3 linked regions of the Lytechinus pictus genome follow. The protein of the gene in region 1 binds, or shares a complex with, the protein of each later gene. Links are inferred from orthologs where the notes say so. Each region holds a gene or a part of one and is shown on either strand. Other genes may lie near its edges.

Evidence for each region. The genes of interacting proteins can lie anywhere in the genome.
Region 2: complex I assembly factor ACAD9, mitochondrial-like (region 1) and transmembrane protein 186-like share a complex: the UniProt entries of both Homo sapiens proteins name them as parts of the mitochondrial complex. The link is inferred for Lytechinus pictus from reciprocal best matches to the Homo sapiens genes ACAD9 and TMEM186.
Region 3: the proteins of complex I assembly factor ACAD9, mitochondrial-like (region 1) and evolutionarily conserved signaling intermediate in Toll pathway, mitochondrial-like are in contact, whole or in part, in a cryo-EM structure (PDB 8PHE), measured with the Homo sapiens proteins. The link is inferred for Lytechinus pictus from reciprocal best matches to the Homo sapiens genes ACAD9 and ECSIT. Residues at the interface, in NP_054768.2 of Homo sapiens: Leu180, Thr181, Asp188, Ala189, Ala190, Ser191, Ile192, Lys228, Lys239, Asp240, Lys241, Ile242, Phe293, Ala296, Met297, Leu300, Ile431, Met434, Tyr435, Leu438, Thr439, Leu441, Gln442, Gly445, Thr449, Leu516, Gly520, Lys521, Ile523, Met524; in NP_057665.2 of Homo sapiens: Pro321, Glu322, Glu323, Trp324, Asn325, Leu326, Tyr327, Tyr328, Pro329, Met330, Leu332, Asp333, Leu334.

What each region holds. Positions count from the first base shown.
Region 1 is NC_087247.1:7,772,476-7,780,230, reverse strand, and holds the start of complex I assembly factor ACAD9, mitochondrial-like, read left to right. Parts: upstream 1-4,733; 5' UTR 4,734-4,821; coding exon 4,822-5,148; intron 5,149-6,192; coding exon 6,193-6,286; intron 6,287-7,166; coding exon 7,167-7,268; intron 7,269-7,755. Other genes in the region: protein FAM50A-like, read right to left, coding at 292-434, 1,263-1,350, 1,958-2,045, 4,367-4,477. UniProt on the Homo sapiens protein: As part of the MCIA complex, primarily participates in the assembly of the mitochondrial complex I and therefore plays a role in oxidative phosphorylation.
Region 2 is NC_087249.1:2,092,494-2,099,532, forward strand, and holds the start of transmembrane protein 186-like, read right to left. Parts: upstream 3,111-7,039; 5' UTR 3,040-3,110; exon of another isoform or gene 2,996-3,039; intron 1-2,995. UniProt on the Homo sapiens protein: As part of the MCIA complex, required for efficient assembly of the mitochondrial complex I.
Region 3 is NC_087254.1:24,882,651-24,889,822, reverse strand, and holds the start of evolutionarily conserved signaling intermediate in Toll pathway, mitochondrial-like, read left to right. Parts: upstream 1-4,062; 5' UTR 4,063-4,187; intron 4,188-7,172.

The DNA of each region.
Region 1 (7,755 bases):
CACCAAGCAATGATAATACACTGTCCCATATGTGCTTATCTTCGTAGGCAATATCTAATTATGATCATTTTTCAGCGTAAATTTCATGTTTCATAAGAACAAGTAAATTATGTACCAGATCCAGATGTACAATGATATGGTCACATTTCACCTTGATTTTAAAGACTTTCCCAAGATATCATCGTTTGCTGCAACTACATTAATTTAGATTTCAGTTAATTGGGTTAAAATGTTCTATGAAGTTTAACCCACAATATTCACACACACACACACACATGATGAAAATCTCACCTAACTCATCATCTGCTTTATCTTCTTCTTCCTCCTCTTTATCATCACAAACTCCATCTTCTCCTTCTTCATCATCTTCATCCATATTGAATGACAGCGTTCCAGCATTCTTCAGTTTCTTCTTCCTCTTTCGTTCCTTTGCTCTGTACAAACACATGAAACAATGGATACAGAACATGCCTGTCATTAATGTTCGGCTTATTGGTATTCATTCTAGAAATACAATTTCCTCTTCCTGGAAATTCTCCGAGAACATTATCGAGGGTCAAATGAGACAGTCTATATTTCAGTTATTCTCAGTGTATATAGAAATATTTGAAGCAATCTCATTTAAAACATCCCTGTCTTTCAATTCAATTCTATTGAATGGTCAGTAATAAGGGATGGGTTGGAAGGGGGGAGGGGGATCAATGAATCAGCTATTCAAGTGAAAGAGATGTTGCATGCATGATACTAGTCAATGTAGTAGACTGATTTGTATTGCAAAATGTACTTGAATTAAAAAATTACTCTACATTTTGACTCTGTGCACTTTAGGATGATTTCTTGGTAAAGGAAATGTCAAATTTTTTCAAGTATCATTTTTCGGTTTTGTCTCAGCCCTGGGGGGTATTTCATTAAATAAATAGTGATTTTCACTGGCAACTGTTATAAGCTTCTGAAATCCTTGCATCTGATTGGCTCGGAACAAATAAGTTGGTGAAAATCACTAACAAGATGCTCCATGAAACACTCCCTTAATTTTGCCATACGTTTTTGTTTTAACAACTTTTTACTTATTAAACGCATTCTATGAGTTATTTCTGTGATGTGAAGCAATGGAAAAAGGAAGAAGTTTACATTTTTTTAATGACGATATAGGGCACACAAAGTTTAAGAAAATAAAACTGTACAATTTGGATCTCACACGGTTATGCCAACGTTTCACCAAATAGATTACGGTGGAGATTGGAGTGTATGAATTGACTTACAGAGCTTTAGATGATTGTGCAAGTTCCTTTTCTCTCTCCTTCACCAAGTCCTCTCTCTTTGCTCTCATCTGATCGAAGGTGACCAGACCTAAAAAGAAAGAAAGAAAAAGAGGAGTTGTGACAAACAAACAAATCTCTAAATGCAAAGTACAAACTGATTTAAAGGCCAAGCCCAAATACAAAAATATGCTGACTTGAAAAGAGAAAAATCAACCAAGCATGAACCTGAAAATGTCTTCAAATATTCAATGTTCAATAGGAAAGTTTGACATTTTACTTTTGTTTGAATTCACAAAACATTTATATACACATCCTGGTGAGAATGCAATTGAGGAAGCTGAAGACATCACCCCACTTTACTTGTGTATTTCATTATATGATACGTGAAATATCTTCATTTTTTTGGTTTATTATAATGTGAAAAAAAGTTTGATACTTCCCTAAAATGTTAGGTCGCCATTGTTGTGATCTATTGTGAGTCGATGAAGTCCTTTCTCAATGTTAAATTCACAATTCAAAGAAACAATCTGCACCATTGGAAAAGCTTTGACATTGCAGTCAATGGGGATTTTTAGGGCTTAAAAAAAAAAAAAAAATTTGTGGGCTCTTTGGAGCATTTCAAAATGGATACCACACAAAGCCCCATGTACCCCCCCCCTCTTTGATTCAATAATGCAGATGATGAAATACTGTACCAATGGTGCTGCTCTTGAGTTGCTGTTCCACTGCATCATAATGAGCCGAAAATTTTGCGCTGATGGTAGACACTCGACTGACACTGTCCTGATAACAAAAGGAAACAAAATCATAGAAAAAACAAACTTTCAGGAATGCTTTTTTTCAAGAGCAAACAGTATCATTATGTCATGGACCATCATTAGATAAAAGTTATGAATTATAGGATATTATTGGCCATGTGTCTCATGAGGTCGCCTACTTTCGTGTTACATGGTGATTTTCACTAAGTATACACCCTATGATAGTAAAACTATATATTTTCTGAAAGGAAATCGCTCAATGAACCCAAATATTCACTCAGAAACAGCAATATGTGTAAGGCATTAGTGTTATATTATGTTGAATGGAAAATTTTTAATATTTTTCAATCTCATATTTGTGATTATAATAAAATACATGGTCCCCCGATGACCAAAATAATGACATTTCTGTACAGTACAGACCTTTTTAACAATGTGTAATTTTATTGGGTTTATGGTTATGAAATTACTTCAAAATCAACGAGAACTTATGCAATCTTTTTCCCTAAAAATAATAAATGTATATTGTGCATGCTATTTCTGCCTGCATTGCAATTACATTGTGGTTAAATCTACTTGTTCATCTGATTTATTAAAGGTATAAAACAATTTAAAAGAAATTCTGATAATGATATCATTAGACCAAATAATACTCCTAAGATTCTTCACATATTGTAAGTCTGAACAAAGCCAAGTATTCACTTATTACTTTCATCCTACAGAATAGTCACTTGTTTTCTGTATCTTACAAAAGGTACATTGAAATTAAGAATTACTTAATATAACTAAGAATAACTAATAAATGAAGAAAATGTTTCAATATGGAAGGATTGTTGTGAAACTTGAAGAATTTCAACAATTTTCTATTTCTTTTTCAATGTTTTTTGGTATTTGAATGATAATGACATTGCCAAAACTATTTTTCAATCAATTAACAGTAAAGAAGATTGTTGTAGTTTCAATATGATACCAAATTTTTAGTTGGAAGTCAAGTTTTCACAAAAATATTAACGTTCTACCCAAAATAGCACAAAGTATTGAGAATCAATCCCCATTGACTTCCTACAGGTGGCATCGCTGCCCGCACCATCCCCGGTGCTCCGTCTTTAAAGATGTGTTCTACTTATCCTAGAGCAATGAAACTTTCTAAATCATTAGCCAATGAATTCAGCTTGAAAATGATACCAAACTTGTTGGCATAGCTTCTTTGATTTTGAAAATACTTAGGAATAACTCAACACAAATTAACCAAAATATGTAACACCACCCATTTTTGGTCGGCGACCTCATGACACATGGCCTATTTTTTCTCTACCCCTCCAAGGCTCCATCCACCATCTTCACACTCACAGCAACTGTTTATTTTTCCTGTACTATGATGAGGCTTATTTCCACTGTGTTTGCTTATTCTCATTTTCATGCTGGCTTTCCACTCAAACGCAGAGAAAATTAATAAGAAAAATACAATACAAATTATCAATTTGATTACATATGTACAAACAAATGAGACGCGTCTTGGACAGTTATCTCTCGTAAGCTAGCAAATATTCTCCAAGTTGATAACGCCATCCATCCGCACCTCCACAGAGTATACTTTACAATCCAATGTCATAATCGATTATGTTTATGAGAGCATGGATCCACAAAAGCAGCACTCCAGCAGCTAGCACTGTAGCAGGCGCAGCTCAGCCTCAGGCAGCACTAAGTAAGCAGCTAGCGGTAACTTAGACAGCTGGCAGCCGTCTGTTTCGAGGAGTTTTTTAACATTTTTTTTTTTTTAATTTCTCCTCATACACAGACGGCTCGCTAGCGTGCAGCCACCATTAGGGGACTTGCAATGCAAAATCCCCCCGTCGGGGCTCTTCAATTTTTGTCTTTAATGAGTAAAAATTTTGAAAATTCACGCGACCAAAATGCAAATTAATATTCCCTCTTGAGTCTTGGCATCAATTGCCAAAAAACCGAGAAAAATCAAGTTAAAAGGAACAAAAACAGTGACTTACCTCGGCTGTCGCGCAAATTCACTTCCCCGTTTTATCCGATCTTAAGTACATAAACATATGGCCATTGAGTCCCCTGTACAGATCGCGCTAGAACTTCGGTCTCTGTATTTGGTGAGTGAAGCCAACGGAGTTCAGCTGAACAACCAACATAACAGAGACCGAAGCTTTTGGTCTAGCGGTAACTCAGCTTAGCACACGCCGAGACTCCCCGCGCCTCTCAGCAGCAAACGGCTGACTCACAAAGTTCTCGGTGCACTGCACCATTGATTGGCAGTCGTCTACTCCCCGAATAATGTCAGTTAATTCACCAATATTACCGAAAAAAATATTTTTCAGATCTTACCTGCTCTATGCGTTGTTTTAAACGTTCTAGCTCTTCTCTCTGTTTCTCCCGTTTCATCAAAAGTTGACGAACTCTTCCAGCCTCGCTGGCTGCTCCCTTGTACTCGGCCATTTTTTCCAGCTTAGGACGATACCACTATTTTGGAGGCCGAGGCTCCATTGAAAAGTTCACATCGTTAAAAGTGTGATAAACTTATAGAATGTATCAATATAAATTGCATTCAATATCGAGACAATATTAATTTATTATATTATTCAATCATTCTTTTTTCATCCATAATGAGTCAAAATGCTAAATATCTCCATCAGCAACCACAAAGATATTCCCATCAATTAAGACCGCCCCTTACCATAAGTCTAATCTCCCACTTACATAATACGTTCTTTGCTGGCATATTTCAGGGAAAGTCCCCAAGTAAAAATCTTAAAACTTGTGGAGAATTATTGAATGCAGTCATGTTTTGCCGCAATTTTCGCAATGTTCAAAATATTCATTCTCACTTAATATCAAGGTCTGTTAATGGGACCGAACTCATACCAAACAGATCTGTGAATTGCTTTCATAAATGGACAGATCCTGCCACAGGAACAATTCACATTGGAAGACACACTGCCGGCACTTCACATCAAAACTCTTCCCCGGCAGCACGGGGGGTTGCCACATCGGCCTCCCGCTTCCAAGATTCTGTGAGTCCGAGCTCTGCAGCGGCGTCAAGCGTCTCTCGAGTCACAGCTTCTCCAGTCGGATTCGCCAAAAATCTTTGTCTTGGCAAATTTAACAAGGTACCGTATCATATGTTTACCCCCAAAATATGTACCGTCATGACCGTACTCCCGGAGTCCTATTTTAATTTTTAGTTTTAAACATATAATCTAGATCTAATTTAGACTGTGACTGTAGCTATAAACATGTTAAACCAGCAAAATTTACTCTACGACTATGTTTAGCAACAGCTAAAATCAACCTTTTTACTGGAGGAGTTTTTATTTTTTGAATTTTCTAAAACTTTTTTAAATTTCTCCTCCAGTGGAACAAGACGTAGTCCAGTGCAGTGGTCATTTGTTTAGCGTTTTTGATTTAGAATAAAAATCTATACCCAAGACTAAGACTAAGTTATATCTCGGTCACATTTGCTCTATGCCTGGCGGCCGTACGGCGAGTTGAAAACAGCCGTTTTAACATTTTGTAACAGCTACATATGAATAAAGACGGATAAAACGGCTATTTTTGACTCGCCGTCAAGCAAATGTAGCCGAGGTAGCAGACATATCACGAACCAATCTTGTCCAATTTTTCTGCGCAACCTGATTTTTACATTAAAATTTCAAACTCATCTTGCTCATTAATGCGTGAAGTGTTTGTCTCGTATTAGGTATCAAAATAAACAGGAATATTTAATTATATGATCCTGTATAAAGTGAAATATCATAATTCTTTTGCCTTTGAAGAATAAAGACATGGGAATCCTGGTTTCCTTTTTTGTGGGATGCACTTTATTAATTACTACAAACCAAGCAGGTCTTTGCGTTCATCCACTTCTGGCTTCCTTGTTATTCCAAAAGTTTCAAAAACCTGGGGGGAAAGATCATTTGCTTTTGCATGCCCCCTTTGTGGAACAGCCTTCCTGAAGACATTAAAAAATGTACCTCTGTCGAAACTTTCAAAAATCTAAAAACTTTTTTATTTAACTCTTAGCTCTTTATGCGCCTTGAGCACTCTACAGAGTGGAGTTGGCACTTTATAATTCACATTATTATCATTTTACATTATTATTAAATTATCCTGTCGTATGATTAACTTTGCGTTTCATTACATATTACTTTTAGGATGATGCATTCCCTTTCCCTGAAATCACAGTGGAGCAGTTTGAACATCTCAACCAAATGTGTGATCCTATTGAGAAATATTTCAATGAAGAAGGTAGGATAGTTATTTTAAAATGTTTCATACCCATGTATATGTTCTATCTTTTGTATAGAGAGCTTACATGTAGTTTAATATTTTGAATAAAATGCTTATAATGATATGTATCATATGTATATGTTAATGGGTTTTTAACTGGTCCTATGGGACCTTAACCCTGTCACACCATACTTTGTTCTGTTCATTTACTTCACTATAATAATGAGGTGTCTAGGGACCATAATCTAGTCAACCAGTGTAAATTCAAGGTTACTGAAAATGTTTTAATATCATTTTCTTACTTAAAAATGTTAGAAAGTAAAACCAGATGAAGATTTCCTTTTTTGAATCAGTATAAAGAAGTATAGAATTATTTCATACATTCATCTTTGCCACATTTCTTTTATTTGTCAAAATAAGCAAGGTGGTTGCTATTCTTTGAGATACCAAGGATAGCAGTGAAGACAAAAATCATAGGGAAATCACATTTGTATCCTGTCATTTAAAAGAAATAGCAACATTGTCCACTGTCAGATTTGAAAGCTCGCTTACATTTCTTGATTGAGGGGATACAAGAAAAAATAAAATATAATGGAAATATGTCCTTATTTAAAGAGATTTTAATGTTTTGATATAATTTGTTCATGTTGCTACCTCAAGCATGCTTCCAGCCACATGTATTATTTAGGGCTGTGAAGGTCACCTGACTATATAAGTAATACAAGAATGAAGACCTTGATGCACACATTCACAAAGAATATTGGAAAGTCTGATACAGCTAGTACAAATTTCAGTCTTAAATAATTTTCAAAGCTCATATTGAAAATAACTCTTAGGCCTATCTTTTATGCTGAACCCAGTTAGAGAGTCTGAATTTTCTTTTTTTTACCTTCTACAGTGGACTCCAAAACAATTGATGTAAATGCCAAAATCGATGAGAAAACATTGCAAGGTTTAAAAGATCTTGGTCTCTTTGGTCAACAGGTTCCTGAAGATTATGGTAATAAGAATTTTGTGTGTGTATTTTTTTTTACTTTGTATATGCATAGGATAAGTATTTCAGAGATCACTTTGTTGCTTGAATAAATTGAAGCTCTTTTTTTTTAATGAATTGTGTAATATTCAAAGAGTTGTACTTGAGGAATTATTGCTATTTTTGCATGTTACCTGTAATATATCAAAGTTCTATTCTGGTAGTTGGCAAAATAAATATTGTATGTAGGCTACATATATTCTACAAAGGTGAAGAATTATGTGTGTTTGTGAGTAGGTTGTATTAAAAAAATAATATGATATTCCTCCCTACTTCCCCTCTTCTTTCTCTGCCTATTCTTCAATGTTTGATATCTTTCTTTCTATCTTATATACATATTTCTGTGGTTAATAATTATTATTTTCAAATTCACATTGCTTTTGTTATCATAATTTTCCTGAGTAAGTTATATCTGAAAATTCCATTTTCTTTGTGATATTTTTTTTTGTTCCCT
Region 2 (7,039 bases), on another chromosome or scaffold:
GGACACAACTCATGACAAAAGCAATGTCAGTCTGGGGAGATTAGAATATATTCACTATCTGTAAAGAAATAAAAGCAAAGAATAGAGGGGAAAACACCATAGAGATGTATTATATTGTGCAATTACTCGCATTGACTCTATGGGAGAATATCAGATGAGTCACTGTTTTACACTACATTTGTCAATTTAATGCTGTATGCAGTGTGAAAATATGATGCAGATGCATACCGGTATTTCTTAAATGAGATGAACTGAACTTCTAATATAAGGGGAAAATAACAATCTGACTCATTGTTACACTTGTACAGTGTAGAAGTCAAATAGACTGCAACCTTTATAGCATATCATGGGCTTATTGGTTCATGATTCATTTTTACTCAATGAATAATGAATTCCATTCATTGTAATTCAATCCCTTTGTAGTTTTTATACCTACTTTGTAACTTAATCAATTGATCCCCCATAGGACATTTCAATAACAAATTACAAATAAGGTGCCCCTTAATTACATAACATTTTTAGTTACAATTTTTATATCCTTATTTATCATATTAGGCAAAATCAGATCGAAGGATCGACATTTATACAGTGCGTCCCACAAAAAACGAAACCGAGATTTATCGATGATTTATCATAACTTAATCGCAAATACAATAGACAAATGACCTACCATTTTAAAGCTTAGAATCTCCTCTTTCATCTGAAATTACTTAGATTATTTTTCATTCACGCATGAGTGAGCAAAAACAATTTGAAAAGCGGATACCAAAAAGTCACTTGGTGGGCCGTATCTGGGTTTTAAAAAGAAAACCACATTTTTAAAAAGTTCAATATCTGCTCTTTAATTTGATACCTCAATTACAGAAAATGGTCAAGAAATAAAAAAGTTCTGGTTATTTGAAATAAGGCTTGAATTTCAATAATTTCATAAAATGAAGAGGTTTTACAGGCTAGAGTTCACACTCACTCGACACTCCGTTTTGTTGACGATCAGCCATGCATTAAGTCTTTTGTTACCGTGCGATAGCTTCAGTGGGAAACCGGTGAAAACACGTTTATTTAATGAAATTATGGAAATACAAGCATTGTTTCGAGGGATCATAACTTTTTTACTACTTGACCATTTTCTGTGATTTAGGTATCAAAGAAAAGAGAAGATATTGAACTTTTTAGTCATGTGATTTTCTTTTTGAAATTCAGATACCCCCCGCCAAATGAGTTTTTGGCATCCTTTCTTTGAATTGTTTTTGCTCAATCATGCGTGAATGAGGAATAGTCTAAGTAATACCAGATGAAAGAGGAGATTCTAAGCTTTAAATTGGTAGGTCATTTGTCTATTTTATTTATGATTAAGTTATGATAAATCATCGCTAAATCTCGGTTTCGTTTTTTCTGGGACGCACTGTATAACTAATTTTCTGGACAATTGCTAGGGAATTTGATCACAGTCCATTTTCATATCCTGAAGGAAAAAAAAATCAATATTGCCAGGGGCACTTTTAGGAACTTTCCCTACAATACTACTAGACAAACAACTTCAGTCTCTGTAAATTGGTTGTTCCACTTAACTACGTTGGCTCCACTCACCAATACTGAATGGGGACGATAGTAAAGTGTCAGAAATTGTTAAATAAATGCCCAGAAACGACAGTTATTCATGTCTACTACAATACATGCTACTTAATTCCTTCTTTAGACTAGACCTATAAATTTGAAATTTGACATTATTTATGAACCGTATTGTATGATCCTTTTAATTTAAGTTTTTTCCGTACCGTAGACTTAATTATTCTAATAACGTTTATTTAAGTGTTAAACTTATTGAATTGGAAAAAAAATATCATCAAAAGGTTTCAAGTGTTGTGTAATCTCACCACTTAAAGTAGTCCCTTAAAGCATATAAATGAAAAATTAATAAATAAGGTTTGAGGGAAACAAAAACAGACAATCATCATGAATGATCATGGGTCTTCATGACAATCCCAATAATCCCATACCACGTCATGCATGACTACTCATTATTTATAGTTATACTTATATATCATTCATAGTCCATACTCTCACTCTAGCTCTGCTCTGCCTCTGTCGTGCTGCATCGGCAAATGCACCAACTAAGACAAAGGTCTGATACAGCTTGCAGCCTAGGAAGTGAAGCTTACAAAAAAAACAGGTAAATTTCGTGATTGTGTAATATTTAATAAAGTATTAAATTTATTAAAGGACAAGTCCACCCCAACAAAAAGTTGATTTGAATAAAAAGATAAAAATCCAACAAGCAAAACACTGAAAATTTCATCAAAATCGGATGTAAAATAAGAAAGTTATGACATTTTAAAGTTTCGCTTAATTTCACAAAACAGTTATATGCACATCCTGGCTGGTATGCAAATGAGGAGACTGATGATGTCATCCACTCACTATTTCTTTTGTATTTTATTATTTGAAATATGAAATATTCTCATTTTTTCCTAATTGTCGAGTGATACAACGATTGATTCCTCCCTGAACATGTGGAATTAGCATTGTTTAATACTATATGGTTCAGTCAAGTTGGTCTTTATTGTCAAATCTATAAAAAATGAAATATTGTATAATTCAAACAATAAAAAACAAAAGAAATAGTGAGTGAGTGACATCATCGACTCTCTCATTTGGATGTAACTGGCTCGTTCATATAACTATTTTGTTAAAAATAAGCAAAACTTTGAAATGTCATAACTTTCTTATTTTACATCCGATTTTGATGAAATTTTCAGCACTATGCTAGGTTAATTTTTCTCTATTTATTCAAGTCAGCATTTTCCTGGGGTGGACTTGACCTTTAAGAACGTTTTTCTACTCCACGAAAACATATGTGTGGGACTAATATAGCTCGCAGCTACTAAAAGTACTAGCAGCTACCATGCATAGGAAGAAAATTAGGAAATTGTATTCTAAGCCAAAAAAAAGTGCGTATAAGCATATAAATATTTTCGGGGGAAATATAAATACGAACCAAATTCAAAAGGATAGGATGGACGATAAATAACAGCTGAATACCTTTCTCTTTCAGTTCACATGGGAGCATACATTGATTTTACTGGGATACCTTCTCTGATCTGAACTAGACTCTTTTCATAGCTATACGTTACCGGAACTAACTAACGGCACGCGGTATAGAGATAAGAGCACAGTCTTCAAGGCTTTAAAGGGGAGATGACGTCATGATTATTTACATTGCTCGAGCTAGTCGAAGCTGAAGCTCAGCCTCAGGCCTCAGTTCAGGTTGTAATTTCATTTTTGTTGTAATGTAACCAATATTTGATCTCATTTTCTTAAATCTTATCCACAATTGCCCACAATTACCTCCACTGGTGTTCGTGCAGGCTCCACTCCACTTCACTACCGATACACTACGCTTTGTACTGTACGTCTGTAGCGTAGAAGCCGGCCGTGGCGTAGGCGTAGTCTAGTGACTGTGTACTACTACTAGTACGGTACTAGTATTACTAGCGGGGAGCCTCGCCTCGCATGTTTTTGTTTGTGAAGTTGTGTGACAGTGAGTGAGCTGGGGTCTGTTGCATGCCCGGGGGGGCCACTTCCATTCACGAGTGGATACCATGCGCGACCATGGGGTCTCGAAAAAGCACCCTAAACACGTAATTTCCATATTCTGAAAATGCAGCCCTTAACATAAGTATTGGCGTGTGAAACCCTACCCTTAACAAGTATTGGAAACAAAACGATATACTCTTGGCCCTGACTCTTGGCAAATATTCCTTGATATATGATCCCCTGAACAAGTACAGGAATGTTTTATTGTTACGGGTCCTTCGGTCGTCGGCTTTACCTTATTTGGTATAGTACGACCCCATCTTCTACACCTCGCGCAAATCGGACTCTAAACACGAAGTGTTGGGGCAAAATGGACATCCTTTAAGGCTTTATAAAACATTTTAATTTTGTTTTATCATTCCCGCAAATTCGACCCTAAACACGTAATTTTACTAGCGAAATAGACACCCTTTTTTCATTATTTTTGTGTTTTTGACACCCTTATCACGTTACGTACGTAACGTGCCCTATCGTGAAAAGGACATCCTTTTTACGTGTTTTTTTGGTCGCGCATGGTATCCACTCGTCAATGTAAGTGGCCCCCCCGGGGTTGCATGAAAGGGTCTTTCCAAGGACCGTCTTTCGTGTCGCCCATTTATTATGATGCGCCATGTGAAACACATTTTAAATAAATTACCTGCAAACATATTTTATTCATCTGTTAAAGTAAACAAAATCTTTGTTTATAAAATGATGTGATATATCAGGAAATTGTAATTTGTATACAAATCGATTAAAATGCTAGCTAACAAATTTTATTTGTTTATCATAGTACATTTCAGTAAAATCCCGCATACAGCGCATCATAAAATATGGGCGACACGAAAGATGGTCCTTGGAAAGACCCTTTCGTGCAATCGGCCCCTGAGCGGGGAGTGGAGCCTGCACGAACATGACTAACCGGTAACCCAGGGAGCTCTGGCCCGCTTCGTGGGCCGGAGCCCAGGAGTTGACCGTGCAAAACGAGGGAGACACTGGGGTCTGTTGCATGACGAGATGAGCGATACGTAGCCGTAGGAACGTCCTAGGACCATTCTTCCGAGATAGGAAGATTGGCGACAAATCAGCGCTTACCGTTTCACGGAGGTAATTTTGTCTTCCAAGTCCGCGACATCGTTTGATATCGATTATAGTATCGGAAAAATATTTAGTCTTCATCGTCACCTGAACCTTTTATTTCGGAATGACAACTTTTCATAAAATCATATATTTCAATAAATGGAGATCAAATAATGTTTTAATTATTACTGATTGTAGAATTGATGTATGGAGCTTACTTTATGAGGTAAAAGGAGAAAAAACTTTAAAGATTCACAAACAAACTGGATAAAATTGCAAAATTTTCATTTATATTTCTCTTATTTAGAACACGGTGTCCTTTTAGAGACACCTTTCATTGATATTTCAACGAAAGAGACCCTTGACCAACATAAAAATTGAATTAACTAAGCAATTTTGACATTGTATTAATTCAATATTCTGATTTTTTTATAGAATACTTATTTATAATGATGATTTTGCAAATTATGCGTTAAATGTTATTTGTTGAGGTAAAAATAGGGTTTGAATGGAGTAAACAAAATCAATGTGTCTGATTGTTTGAGACTAAAAAGGAAAATATGAGAGGCTGCTTGTGAAAAATCTTATTTATCTTATTTGTCAGATATCACGCAAGAAATACCTTTGCATGATGAGTAATCGAAGACAAGCAAAATATGAAAATTGCTGCAAACATGTCCAAGTGGGTAAAGTAGTGCTTTGCAATAATAAAACATAGAAAAATGTGTGAAATCAATCCGCAATGGAAAAAATACAATTTTCAGAAACAATGCTAAAAATGACAACTATCATAAACGTTGGTCATATTTAAAGTTGATAACTTTATGATCACAAATTTCCTTGTTGACCATAGTAGATTGCGAGACAAATGAATACCCTCTAGCGATTATTTCAGTCCGCAATAATGAACCTATTTAGTATTAACTTTATGGAAGTTTATATAAGAATATAAGCTTTAAGAATATTATGTTCAACATTTCAAAGTTAAGGAGTCGAGACTACATTATTGCTTTAACATGACATAGGGGCCGATAGGTCCTACCCTACGATTTAAAATGCGCCTCTTCGTATGGACTTTTCATAATCTTTTCTTTTATTGATACAACAAACTTATCCTCATTTATAATGATTGTGATGGATTCGTAAGCTATTAGGCCTAATCTATATATTAAATTCAATTAGCTATTTTGTTAAGTCACTGCAGATTTTTTTTGTTTCATTCATCATCTCAAGTTAGCACAAATCCATCAATTAATTTTCATTAATTAAAATTAATCTCGGCAAAAAATAATAATAATTGTCATCAGTGGCGTACCTAGGATTTTCCACAGGGGGGGCAAAATCGGCCGCCAAAAAATTTGACAAGCAAAAAAAAAAAAAAAAAAAAAAAAAAGGTCTTCAGGCTCTTCAGGGGGGGCATTAAAGGTCTTCAAGTTCGTCAGGGGAGGGGGCAAAAAAGGTCTTTTAAGCTCGTCAGGGGGGGCAGGTATATGTCTTTTGTATGGGTCATGGTTGCTCGTCAGGGGGCAGAGTGCCCCCTCTGCCCCCCCCCCCCCCCGTAGGTACGCTAGTGATTGTCATTATGAAAATGAAATAAAAATAAATAAATGATTAAGCATGTTTAGTAACATCTTAGTTTTGTATCGTGCTGTCTTTTTTTCGTTGAACGTTATAAACACGTTTTTTACCATTCATAATGATCTCTTTAAAAAAAAAATAGTTTTCATGTTGTTTATCTAATGAGAGGCTGCCGCTCATTTCGATATTTCAACTTCAAGTTTAATTTAAAAAAAAAACTGGAAAGGGGGTGGGGAAAAGACAGGAGGGAGAATAAAAGAAAACATACTAAAAAAAATTATTTGGGCCTAGATTGACCCCGGAGAAGTTAAAGTGACACCCGTTTTGGGTCGTCTTGCCATGCAAGATGATCTGGGCCCCGTCTTACAAAGAGTTACAATTGTTTCAATCAATCTTAACTCTATGAAAATCCATCAGTGTCATAATTTTTTCTACAGGAAATTTGCAAAATGTCCTTTGTAAACAAAGAACACATCGAATTATCTAGAATTCAATGAATTTATGGATATACATTCATCTATAAAAAAAATTTGAGCAAACATGCATTTTATATGTTGACTTTGCTGGCTTTCCATAGTTGTGATTGATCGGATCAATCGCAAGTCTTTGTAAGACGGGCCCCTGAAATTATCCCCCCCATATAAAAAATAACTTGGCGCCATCCCAGATAAAATGCATCAGAGTGCACTCGAATGACCCCCCCCAAAAAAAAAATGTTTAAAGGTGATATGTCAGTGTGGCTTGCCATAAACGCATATTCTCTCAATGCTGACGGTGGCGGGCGGTGTGCAAAGAAGATCATGCCTAC
Region 3 (7,172 bases), on another chromosome or scaffold:
TATCAGGAAAATAAATATTTTGTCAAAAATTATTTTTTCAGAGTATTTAATTCCTGCCACACAATGTCATGCATTTCATAGCCAATGTGCGGACAATTTTATGATTTTCATGGGTAATTTGCATATTTTGGCGGCCATATTGGATTTTGCCAATTTGCGGAAAATGCTCAAGGTTACACGAGTGGCATCATCCAGATTCGTAATCAGCACCCTCGAATTGACAAGAAACCATCAAAAAATATTGTATATATAAAATAACAAGGTTATGCCTCTTCTATCCTGGACTAATTCTGATTATGATGAAGAGAGTGGGAATCGTCACCTTTCTTACCTCTTGCTGTGATATTTAATTATACTCTATTCGACTATTCCTTTACTCTCTGATTGAAATGCTGTTTCTTTCTCATTATATTTTGTTTAATGTGATAAACCATTCCGATTTTGCAGCTAAAGTGGTTGGGAGTTCTGTTAACAATATAAAGTTAAAGGACCATTGACTTTTCAATTTCACCTCGGTAGGCAAGGTCTAAATTTGCATGATAATTGATCTCCTATTCGATAATAGTGACACTATTATATGATAGTCATGTAAAGCTTATAACTATTCCTTGTCCTACGATCTTCCTGTAAATAAAGCAGTTAAATAATGAATAAACATACTTGATTGAATTCTGTTTGTCTTTTGTATAAACTGTAGCTATTATGACCTATGCATTTTTTTTAAAGAATACCACACATCATTTCCATAAATTTACATCAGAGGGATGTTGCTTTTCAGGCCACGATCCAGGCATGTGTTCATGTTATATTTTACACAAAAAAAGTACCGGTAACAATAAAAGACCACTAAGAAGCAGAACTGAACTTATTTCTGTTTCCTATGATTAATTATTCACATTCCTGATATCTGAACCTTGTCCCCTTCCCCCTCCCTTGTCTTTACAAGCCTGAAATTTTGAGAGAAAGAAGAGAAATAGAGAGAAGGGGATAAGGATGGGGGGAGGAGAGAGTCAGAGAAAATTGGGAGGGAGGAGGAATGGAGAACTGGTATGGAGATTAGAGAGAGAGAGGTGAGAAATGGAGCATGTAGTAAGAATTGAAATGGAAGGTGATGAAAAGGAATGTAAAAAATAATTTTTCAATAAATATCCCCTCATCTCCCTTTAGTTTTTACCTCCTGTATACCGGTATATCTGGGCTATTACAAAAAGTATGTATGTCCGACCCCATGTTTGTGGGACCTTCATGACATTTTCTGTCTCTGATTTCTGGTTCTTTTAATAGTCTTTAATGCTCTCAAACAATCATGACCTGGTCAGTTCATGAAGTAAAGTAAAACTTAAAAATGGGGGTCGGATGTACAAAAAGGTTGATTATTTTACGGAATTGCCCATCTATATCTTCACTTTTTGGAGTGGGATGGTATATATGAAGAGATATATACAGGTGATGAAATGTGCACTCGGAAGGCTACTTCAAATTTCGCAAAGAAAAAATGCCGTTGTGAGCATCTGCCCGAAAAAAACAATTTTTATGCAAGTGCATCAATATGACTGCCAAATGCAACAGAAGTATCTCAAATCTAAATCAGTTTATGGTGATCTTGGGAAGGGTGATTTATTTTCTCAATGGGGAAGCAAGGATAAAAATGAAAGATGAGAAATATAAGATCATTCCCTTGGTAATGGTGTGTGTATATGAATCCTTTGGTCACAAAACTTAGTCATCTATTACTTATTTCATATATATACTACAAGGAGAGCCATTACTTTAGGTTGTCCAGGTTTACACATGAGGAAGTGCATTAAAGGGGAAATTCACCTTAAAGAAAAAATTATTGTAAAAATACCAGAAAAACATTGAAATATTGGTAAAGGTTTATGGAAAATCCATCAAAGATAAAGGAAGTTGTTAAAATTTCAAGTTTTTTTTATTTGTGACTTCATATACCAGTAGCTGCTCCTTAATGTATAAAATGCATTTTTTTTTCATTATGACTAGATATTTTTTTCTTTCAAGCATCGCAGTGACATAATTTGTCTGTTGACATACTGAAGGTACAATAAAAATCATTTTCATTTTTGTTGTTGAAAAAGGGACATTTTATTGATTTTTTTACTACATGATACCGGTATATGGTTAAGCTGCTCGCATATATTGTGTACCATTATATTTGCTCTGGGGACAATTGCTCTGCTGTGAATTCCACAAAATTATGGAATGGCCATCTTCGACCCTGGATTTAATACCCTATCCTCTAATCCTAAACCTAACATAAAGCCCTATACCCTAACCCTATATCTTACAGGAAATAAAGCCCGGAGCAATTGTCACCAGAGCAAATGCTGTGTCGCCGCTCGCATATGACGTCACAAATAAAAAAATAAGACTTCTAATAACTTTTAAAGGAAACCAAAACCCAAGAAGAGAAGCAATCTTATTGGAAAGAGTAAAATGGGAGGAACAATTTAAAACAAGTTTCCATCAAAATGGGTTATAGAATAAGGGTATTATGGAAGTTTGAAAAGTCTTGTACTTTCTATGGGGATCCTCAAATTGACAAACATGCTTCAATCTGATTTTGTGGACAACCCTCCATTTGTCTTGTACACTTGATATTCCCCTTTTTTTTTTACAGATTTCACATCTCCTCCTGACCTTGACATACGGTATGTGGTGTGAATTATATTTTCCAATGACATATTTTATGCTCAGAATGAGGCAATATGCAATTTTAAAGATAATGGGGAAAATCTGTAAAATTGTGTACAAATCAGCCATTTTGAAGCATGGACAATTTGAGGATCCCCATAGAAAGTACAAGACTTTTTAAACATCCATAACTTGCTTATTTCACCACCGATTTTGATGAAACTTGTTTTAAATTGTTCCTCTCATTTTACTCTTTCCAATAAAATTGCTTCTCATCTTGGATTTTGGTTTCCTTTAATACTTTGATGGATTTTTCTCAAACCTTCACCACTGTTTTTTTTTTTTTTCTTCACAATAAACATTTTTTCAGGGTGAACTTCCCCTTCAACATATTATAATGGTGATGGCAATGATATTGATGATGATATGATTCAATTCAAGAAAGATAAAAGCATTAATACAAGTTAAAAAATATAACAACACAATGGGAGGTAGCAACTCTGTAAGCAGTGCTTGTGATGATCGAGTGCACCATAAAGACATATAATTCATAAAAAAAACTTATCCACACAAAGTACATTATAAATAACAAGTGAAAAAAATCAGGGCAACTCTCTATATATATATTATATCAAATGAAACAGTAAATAAGTCGTCACACCAATCAACCCACAACTGTAACTACTATATAAGCAAATCCCGTAAGCAAATCTCTCAATTTAGGGATGATGATGATATGGGATGGTGATGATGGTGATGGTGCATGGTGATTGTATTTGATGGTGGTGATGATGATAATGAGGTGATGATGATGATAATGATGCTGGTGGTGGTGGTGGTGATGATATTGATGGTGATGATGATGATGATAAGGTGATCGATGATGAGGTGATGATAATGGTGATGATATTGATGATGATGAGGTGATGGTGATTATATTGATAATGATGTGGATGGTGGTGGTATTCATGATAATGGTGATGATGATGGAGTGTATGAGTGGATGCAAGGCCATAGCTATAGGTTAAGTAACCCATCATCTAAATTTAAATTTGCATTTGAGCCCTAATTTCCTAAAATGCACGTAAAAATGCAATTTCTTATAAATTTTGTCAATGATTCATTAATACCCTATGAAAGAGGTCAGCAAATCAGAAATGAAGTTGAAAGTACTGTGTTGAAAAATCAACCACTTCCAGAAAAAAAACTATCTAAAAATCGCCACGGTCATGACGGTGGATGATTTTTTTTGGGGGGTGCCTGCATGGCAATTCTCTATTTCATTTTAAAATATACACCATATATCCCAAAATAAAATTGCCCCACAATTTTTTTTCACTTGGCATCCCATCATGGGATCATGATTCCTTAAAATTTTAGAAACTGAGCTTTGCATGCATGCAGCAGCAGTATTGGAATTGTTCGCGAATAATTACGCATGCTCCCTCCGATCCGGATCCGATCGAAGTAAGGAGACGATCGACAATCACCAGAGCGAGCTAGGCCACAGCAATGAATTAGCAAAGCCAAATAGGGTAAATATTTCTACTTATTGAGATTTATTTGTGTAAAAACTATATGTCTTATCATGCTGCAATATGAGATCCTCATACATGTGGTCAACAAAGTCAGACCAGACTTTCCCTTCCACTGTTTTCATCGTTTACGGTAGGCTATTGCGTTTCAGGCCGGGCTTAACTTTGGGTGCGCGGTTCGGTCCCATCAATATGGTTTTTGGTGTTTGGGGGCACAAGTTTGGGCGCTCATGCAGTTTCGCACCAGCCGTCTCCCAGAGAATATCCTGGGATTTTCTCCACCAGTAATTGTTCACAAATGTCATAACAAGTCTCAATTGAATTTCAAGGTCATTATGCCCAAAGCTTTTTCCAAATATTGTGATCGGAATGGCTGTAGACGTAGAGTCTAGGCCCCCTAAACTTCTAAAGCCTTTACTTTAGTAAAGGCCCTATTTCCATTTTCACTTTCAAAACTTTCGAACTAGGCCTAAATTAAAGTAAAGCCTAGTAAAAAAGGCTAGGGCCTAAGCCTAAAGCTAAGTTTCAGCTGACCAGTACTAGTAGAGGTGCACGGCCAATTCATATGGGAGACAATCTCCCATATTGGAGACTTGCTTTGCAAAAGAAACAACACCAACAAAATGAAAAGCATGATTTTTTCCATCCAAAATTTTGTCTCGCCATGCTCACTGCGGTCAGCTAGAAGTAGAAGAATAGAACTTAGAAGCCCATTTGTGTGTGGATGTTATAAAATAGGTGTATTATTTCAAGCATCGCGATTGGCCAATACGCGTCACATGACACCCAACTTTTTTTGTGCACTGCACGGCAGTGCAAAAGGTGCGCAACGAAAATTGACATTGCACGCTCAAGCAAACCAGTGCGGTAGAAGTCCAACTGTAACTTTTCAAGAATTTGTTTCTGTGTTGCTATTTTATAAAACAAATAATGCACTTGCTCTGTCGTGCGTAAAAGTAAATGCAGAGAAAGCTCGGTTTCTTCAGATGGTGCACGCTGGGCACTCGCCGCCAGCGGCTCGTGCACAGTGCGGCACCTATCTAAAGAAACCTCGCGTGCTCTGCATTTCCACTAACGCACTCGACTGCATGCATTATTTGTAATTGTATAACATGAAATTGACAACAAAAATAAAACAAAAGTAGACGGTGGATTTTTAAAGTAGACTGCAAAGCCAAAGGGGTGATTTTTCATGAGGAATCTGTTTATCACATTTTTATTTGCTGCCAGGTTAATCCCTTTGCAGCAAATGTAAACGAAGGAAATTGGTCCCAAACTGGAGACTGAGTGTCTCTGAATTATTGGATACCCAAAATTCTTTACAAAAGTCTCTGATATTGGAGATAATCTCTCTCTTGGGAGACACTCTCTCATATTGGCCGTGCGCACGTCAACTTAAGTTTAAAATCGTGTTTAACGTTAGTGAGGTGATTACTATTACCGACCGGCCTTGTACTTGTAGTTGTATTACTGAACGCGTACATGATCGTACACATCAGAAAATAATTTCATAATGCTCAAAACTTTAGAACATCCAAAGGCAAAGCCGGCTTTCCTCTTGTTCATTCACTAAGGTCTAGATAACCCAATGAGCTCCAGGACTCGTCCGTGTAATACTAGGCAGACAGGGATACTCTTCAAAATGGGGTAGAATGGGATCACAATCAATAGCACTCCAAATAAAAGGGGGAAAAGAAAATTATGCACTTAGCCACTTACCTCATACATGGATGAAGGTCTATCGTGACACAGAATCCTGACATTGAGGCACGAACTGGACCCTCAAAAAAAGGAAAAGTTAGACCTCCATGTCGCGTTCGTTCTCGGTATCGATAGGCCATTTTGTTTTCAATTTTGAAAGAAGGAGAACGAACGAGGTAGAACTTATCCTTTTTTTGAGAGTCCAGTTTGTGCCTCGATGTCAGGATTTTGTGTCACGATAGACCTTCATCCATATAATCGAGGTAAGTGCATAATTTATTTTTTCTCCTTTTATTTGGGGTGCTATCACGACCCCATTCTACCCCATTTTGGTGAGTACCCACTGCCTAATATTACACGGACGAGTCCTGTGCTCCGGCCCTGTGCTCAAAATCTGTAATGGCAAAAATGTGAGAATTGTGTTGTGATGTGAGACTGGTTGAGGTAGTTATGTTGAGCAGAGTAGGAAATAGTTTTTATTTTTAGGGGCTATCTTTTGAGGGCTATTTCTTATATTTTAAGGGAGCTACATTTTTGGGGGCAACAAACAGCTAGACCGGCACTACTAGTATGCAATAATAAAAGCAAATATTGTTCTGCTATAGAATATTGATTTTCAAGCTTTTTATTAACTCGGCGTGGACCAGGAGCCACATTTGAAGGCAAGTGGCTCCTGGTCCCTTTTATTTTTTGGATGACCAGGTGCCACGTTGGTGGAACCAGGAGCCATTTTTTAAATGAAATTTCAGTCAGTTCGGACATTTTTAAACTGTCAACTACGCATCAAAACTGCAATAACTGTATTAAGATAAAGGAGAAGAAGAGAAAGAGAATGTTTTATTTTTTTTTTTCAAATTCAAAGATGACTACTAGAGTACCTTGTAATTGTATTTTAATTTTGTCTATCATGTATGAGGCGCCGAATGTACCATTATTATATAGAACAATTATTTGTTATATAATCATTATTTATTAAATAATAACTATTATTTATATATAATTTACATTTTATTTGTAAATAACTACTATTATATAAAATATCATTTCTAATTATTTATATATAATTCCAAGTAATACTTCATTATTTGTAAATAATAATAGTTCGACATTCCATTATTTATAAATAATGATTATTTGTTTTTCATTATTTATAAATAATGATTATTTGTTTTTCATTATTTATAAATAATGATTATTTGTTTTTCATTATTTATAAATAATGATTATTTGTTTTTCATTATTTATAAATAATGATTATTTGTTTTTCATTATTTATAAATAATG